Linked DNA regions of Saccharomyces cerevisiae S288C. The gene in region 1 interacts genetically with each later gene. Each region holds a gene or a part of one and is shown on either strand. Other genes may lie near its edges.

What was found. A genetic interaction does not mean that the proteins touch.
Region 2: mutations in TFA2 (region 1) and ATC1 together harm fitness more than expected from each alone (negative genetic interaction), as found in Saccharomyces cerevisiae (2 studies listed by BioGRID).

What each region holds. Positions count from the first base shown.
Region 1 is NC_001143.9:557,601-561,248, reverse strand, and holds TFA2 (transcription factor TFIIE subunit TFA2), read right to left. Parts: upstream 1,584-3,648; coding exon 597-1,583; downstream 1-596. Other genes in the region: rRNA-processing protein LAS1, read left to right, coding at 1-460; mannosyltransferase KTR2, read right to left, coding at 2,295-3,572. UniProt on the Saccharomyces cerevisiae protein: Recruits TFIIH to the initiation complex and stimulates the RNA polymerase II C-terminal domain kinase and DNA-dependent ATPase activities of TFIIH. Both TFIIH and TFIIE are required for promoter clearance by RNA polymerase.
Region 2 is NC_001136.10:830,129-833,255, forward strand, and holds ATC1 (Atc1p), read right to left. Parts: upstream 1,386-3,127; coding exon 501-1,385; downstream 1-500. Other genes in the region: PLP1 (Plp1p), read left to right, coding at 1-149; UPS3 (Ups3p), read right to left, coding at 1,806-2,345; SND1 (Snd1p), read right to left, coding at 2,731-3,127. UniProt on the Saccharomyces cerevisiae protein: Involved in cation homeostasis and in the regulation of the cation stress signaling cascades. Also involved in bipolar budding.

The sequences.
Region 1 (3,648 bases):
AAATAAATGGCAAAATTGGGAGAAACTTATTGATGAAAATGCGTCATACTTGATATTGTATTTTTGCCAATCTATGCTGGCCAAACTAGAGACTGAAAAAATTACTGGTAACTCATGGAGAAACAAAAAACGGAGAAAACAAATTGATAGCACAGTGGAAATCGAGGCAAAACTGAAGGAAAACATAGACAATTTATCATTAAGGTTTAATGAAGGTGAAATAAAGCTGTATGATTTTATTCCTGCGGAAAAAGATTCCGTTCCATTGAAGAAGGAAGTGAGTCCGGCATTAAAGGCTGATACCAATGATATACTAGGCGATTTGGCGTCTTTGAAACAGAGAATGAGCAGTTTCGGAACAGTAGGTAAAAAAAATAAACAAGAGGAGAACAGAGCTACACCAGTAAAAAATTGGTCAAGGGTTCAAAATTGGAAACCCAAACCCTTTGGTGTCCTGTAACCTGTTTCCAATGCTCGTTATAAATACGTTGTAGACTATAAAGCTGAGTTGTATGCTGCACCCTAACGTGCATGTATATATAATCACAGTCTCTTTAACCTAATATGCAAACGAAAATGATTTAATCAAAACAACCTCATACTCTATGGGAATAATCTTTCAAGATACCGGTCATATGAGTGTTAGTAATCTTACCCTTTCTTTGTCTCTTCTTTTTAACTTCAACTCTCTTTGTTTGTCTTTTGATAGTAGCAGGATCGACACTAGCAGGCTTTAGACCTAAATCTTGCAGCTTTCTTGGCAATTCTGCAAATTGCGGTAATTGCACATTTTCCCACATTTTAACAAACTCCTCGTCAATACATTTCAAGTTACCACCGCTGTTATACCAAACGTATCTTGGAGTTTTATCCTTTTTAGTTCTTAACACCAAAATTTTGCTGTCTTCCTCCAGTTGGTTAATCGTTTCATCGCATTGTGGCCAACCGTCTTTCAAGTCTTTGCAGGAAATACCTTTGAATGTTACTTGTGAACGTAACAACTTCAGCAGTTCCGAAGGGGAATGGACATCGTAGGTGGAAAGGTATTTGAAAGTCCCCTTCTTGGGGTCAAACTCTATTCTATCTAATTTTTTTAAAAGCTCAATAACCTTGTCATCTTTTTTCATTGACAAGTAGTCCAATAACTCATTCACCAAAACGGGCTTACCTTTCTTTTGAATGTATTCAGTCGCCCAAAGCAACTTTGAAGAATCGTGACTCTTGGAAATATCTGTTTGATTTGCTTGTAAAGCGGCTGCAGCAATAGAGCCAGGCCTTACTTTTTTTGAAGGAGAGCTACCAAAATCTTCGTCGTCATCGTCGTCATCTAATGAAATAGCATTAGAGCTATTGCTCCCAGCTTCTTTCTTGATATCCACTAACACAGGATTTTTCGCAGAGTTCAAAGTGTTTTCTTGCGCACGTTCGGAGGCCGTCCTCTTCCTAGTGTTTCCATCTATAGTAATCACTGTGTCATTGGTCTTCTTCTGTCCAACTTTAGCGGGTGCGATCACCGGGGCAGACTTCACTTTGCTTTTGAAAGCGTTCAAATTAGCCAGTAGAGGGTCCCTGTTTTTACTCATCGCAAAAGACTACTCTCTTTTCCAAATCGAACGAACTACTTGGTATAAAACAGTTCTGTGTAACAGCTTTCTCGTGTTCTACAGAGCACACGGTTATGTAACTAGTTCACTTCTTATTAGCTCTTTTGCCCTGATTCGTAAGTGAACTTCTTACCCGAAGTAAGCTCGCGCTTTTCTTTTTCTTCTCGCATATAACATTTTGACTATAAAAGCCGTGAACTATAGCATTTGCTACCAGAAAGAATTTTTCTTGCCCTGGACCTTTGATGCTTTAAAAAACATTTCTCTTAAAAGAAAGCATAACAATTTGTGATGCTTTAGGGAGCCTATTGTTTGATGGTTTATAGGAGCCGGATTTGTCTTTTTGACTAATTTTCAACCTATTCTTACTTCCAAAACTGTTGCAATGGCTCTCGTTTTTTTTAAATTTTTCTCTTTTCTCTTCTTTGGCATAGTTTATTTTTAATAAATTATTTCAGGGTGAGATAGAGAAAGGATAATGAGTATCGTAGATAAATCTTCGGTTCCGAATAGTGTAACTGTTGGTGCTGAGGTAATCCATCTTTAAAACCATCGCCGTTAGAGGTTGCTTCTGATATTTTCGGTTAAGCGACCCATGAAATGGTGATGACCTGAGGTATGGAACATCTTTCTTGATGGTTACTTTGTTATATATACGTATTTATAGTATGCGGATACACGCTTTTCTCGCTATGAATCGTGTTTGAGGAAGTATTTACCGCTGCCGTCCTTCCACCATCTTCTCAGGCAGCTGATGACATTGAGATCAATATTGTCTGGGTGATTGCTATCACAAAGACATCTTTGTTGAAGTCTCAGGTAGTATGCAGATGGACACGTGCCAAAAGGCATATGCTTATAGCCTAATTCATCAAAATGGATGATTTCGTCTTTTTTCAAAAGAAGTGAGGCAGCAATCGAATGAACTGGTGCATCTCCCCACCTTTCATAGTAAAAACCGCCCTTTGAATCCAAGTACTCGAAAAATCTAATGTATTTCTCACTTCTGAAAAAGTTCAAATCGCCAATTTCAAAATTTGTCCAAAAATGACATAAATTATAGCCGCTGTTACTATCGATGACACCAAAAGATTTACCGATGAAGTCGAAATTTGATACGAACCCGAAAGCGTTGCTTTCCATGTCAATATCTGCTGACTCTGTTTCTTCGAGATATTCTTCTACAGCTTCCCATAGGCTCGGAATTGTATCTTCGTATTCATACATAGTTATCACAAAGCCATATTTCTTATTGTTCTGCCTCATCACCTTGAATGGATCGTAGGGAAAATCGCAAAAATACTCTACATCTGGCTCAACTCTGAAATAAAAATCGTACGGATCTAATATCTTTTGTCTAAAGAAAAATCCAGAATTAAATCGGCACATATTTCTATATGACTTTGACCCACCGTACAAGATATTTTTTTCCTCCATTAATTGTAAAGCCTCTTCAAATAGAGTTTCGTTGATCCAAGATGGCCTGTTCCAGTCCTCCGCAGGGATTAAAGCGTATTGCGTTCTACCACTAGCCATGGCTGTGGTGGCTTCGATGAACTCTTGATCAAATGGGACATCATTAAGAAATGTCCAGTCATACTGGTAGTTTTTATTGAAACGGTCTTCTAGTGATCTCATGGAACGGAGTGCCCCCGAAAGTTCCCAATTACGCACAAGCATTAACAATGTAGCATTTTCTCTTTGATTTTTTATTCCCTTGGTCTTGTTTAGTGGTTCATCATTATAAGTGTTGCTAGATAGCTTCAGCGTCTGATTCATATGTCGCCTCCTTGTAAAATCATATCTCGATGAAACTTCTCGAGATCTTCTAAAAAAATACGAATCTAGGCTCAGCTGTCTCTGATATGGTACAAGTGCAAGCCAACATGTTTGAGCTATCAAGCAAAATAGAAGACTAACAAAAAGTAGTTTTTTAACCTGTGTAAGAAATACCTTGCAGATTTGCATGAAGCTCCTACGCTTTTAAATAAACAACTATTGTATAGAAAAAACGCAAAAAAAGCGTTGCATGTATAGGTGTCAC
Region 2 (3,127 bases), on another chromosome or scaffold:
TTGATATTAGGAGGCTAGAGCAATCTTTAGCCCATTCAGGTGTTATAGAAGACACATTCGAAATAAGAAAGCATTCATCTGTGAATACGGAACGCTTCGCTTCTACAAATCATGATAGAAGTGAAAGTGATAGTGATTTAGATATATAACTAAATAACCATTACCTCCCTACTAAAAATGACTCGATGGTCTTTTAAGCCATACGCATGAGCGAAAATGGTTCCTCCTGTTCAAACTAAATCGGTTATTCGAGCGTACCGTTGAAAATTTAATAAAACGTTTTGGGGGATTTATAGAAAGTTAAATACGAAATATGCGTATAGTAATGTTTATACATGAAACTCAAAAATGCGACTGTGTTCCTTAAAATAATAAAAGTTGAGTACGAATAACGATGACTGAGAAAGGTAGTGTATATTGTATATAAAATTGGACCATCTTTGTAGTAAAGACAAAAAAACCAATAAATGCAGATAAACTTAGCAGAACTAACTCTAAATTTAACTTTCCTTGGATGATTTTTCATTGAGTTTTTGAGTAAGTTCTAGGATTTGTTGCTTCAAGTCATCATTCTCAACCAATAAATGTGCTCTGTGAATTTCACTATCCTTTAAAGAGTCCATAGATTTTTTCAATTGAATACAAGATCTCGCGTAACCTTCTTTAATAAAATTGAAATTGAGCAGCAATTTATGAGTATTAATTATTCTTGCCTTCATTTCCGAAATTTGACTTATTGTAAACTCATTTGTGAACTTAGCAGGCTTCGTTGCAGATACAATGTCTTGTCTTGCAGAATCTATTTTAGATGTTATATCAGTAATCATGGATTCTATTTTTAGGTGGGATTCATTAGCGTCGGATGAAGCTAACGAAGATGAAGGTGATAGGGATGCAGGGGATAACATGGGTTCATTTGTGGTTTTCAAAAGGGATTTTTTCTTCTTGATGGTGGGTTTATCTATCTTATAGTTCTTTTGTTCTTTATCAGGTTTATGTACGTTATTTTGGTTTGTACTTTTATCTAATGATGCCTTGCCAGTATAACCCTTTTTATGCCTATCGAGATCAATACCAACTAGGCTATCATTAGCACTTCTCTGCATTTCCAAAAGTGTGCTCGAATCGGTGTTGTGTTCATCGTTAAATAAAGATTCCAATGTTAGGTGTTTCTGAGAAGCGATGTCGGAATCAAAAATATCAGTGCAGTCTAAATTATCCATCATAACTTGTTCGAGATCCTTTCCCAAATCTAAACTCTGCCCATCAATCTTTACTGTATCATCAAAATGATTATTTGCCTGAGTGAGCAGCCGATGCAACGTATGTTCTATATTGGCATCATCTGTTAAATCTGTATTCGGATTGGACTGATTCGTGTTCATTATCTTCACGTTTTCCCTATCACAACCTTAGTGTAACTTGAACCAACAAAATTTAAGATGTCAAAACTTCAATCAAGTATTGAGCTCTTCAATAGGGCACTAGCCCTCTGAAATTTTTCATTGAAAATACCGTACCGCATGTTTTTTGGAAATTTTTCATCTCATCGCTAAAGTGGAAAAAAAAAATTCTAGAAACTGAAAAAAAAGAGAAAAAAAAATGACAGAAAATATTTGATTTATATCAAGATGACACGAGTTTGCAAAAAGAGAAAGACACGCTATAGAAACTATTTTGGCAAATTAATCTATTCACTTATTTTTGAGTTTCTGAGTGTAGTTATATGCAAAGAGGCTATAAATCCTTATTTTTTTGAGAAAAAATGCTTGAGAAAAAATGCTTGAGAAAAGATGTATTTTTTTTTATTCGTTAGCATTTTTCCAGATATCGTTGAACATTGCTAGAATACTATCAAACCCGACTTTCCCCTTCACCGCGTTATCACTAAAACGTTTAACGCCCCAGTTTTCTACTTTCTCACTAAAGGTTTTGGTCGGAACACCAGACAGAAACTTTGCATCCTGCTTGAAAAGAGTCACATTCGATGGATTTTTCGGATGAGGAACATAACGTACGGTTTCGTAACACTTCAAAATATGCGGGAAGGTCATATTGCAACTCCTCATAGTTAAAGATCTGTCCCTTCGATCAACGGTGGAGACCTCTCGCACGTATGCTAAATTAGTGTTCCCCACTAAAATGGACATCCAGTGAGGGGTGTTCTGACGTATGGTTATCAGCCGTTCTGTAAGAAGTACATCGCCATGTTCTTTGAGCTCTCGGCGGAGCACATCGACTGCAATAACGTGTGTGGAGATCTTGTTTGGATATTTCATCCAGTTCGCCGTGGTGACTTTCTCCCATGGGTAATCGAATTCATAAGATTTTTGAAATGATTTCATTATTAATATATAAGCTCGAGAGATATATGACTAATAGAAATATTTACTTGAACTTGTCGATTAGAGAAAAGAAAATGCGTTGCTTGGACCGCAGATCCCACTTATTGTTTTCTTGCCAAATGTAACAAGATCTATAGGTTTATGAACTTTCTTCGAAAATCTCATTACTTTTTTTGATAAATAAACGGGCCCCTTGCGGACAAAGCCCTGAAAATTGAAGATTTACGCAGTATCACGTAAACCCAAAAAAAAAAATACAATATCGGTTAAAGTGCTGTTTTAATTTAGAATATATGTTTTACTAATCTATTTATAATCAAGTATATGTGTAATTTGGCTTTTTCCCTTGCCTTGTGCTTAACCTAGTTTTTTTCAGGTGATTATTTTACCGGGCATTACCTCCTAATACCCATCCTCCCATGTTATCCATATCATCTTCGCCGTATAAATCCAGGGTGACGGCTTTTTTATAAACGGGTTTGGTGACTGTAGAATTCGAGTTTGAGTATTTCACTCCTTCAGTTGTTACATCTGTAAAGCCTGCACTATCATTGTCATCATAGAGATTTAGATTGAAATTATTGGAATTTATACCAGTATTATTGTCGTTATCATTATCATTATAGTTATCATTGTCTGGGTGATTCGGTACTATTGTGCTATTAGTCGAATCGTTATCGTCCTCGCGTTCTTTGGGGAGAGATCCAGACATGATTTGGTCTTCTTCCTCGAGATTTAGTAACCTATGACTGGAATTGTTACTATTTTTAATGCTATTCGCC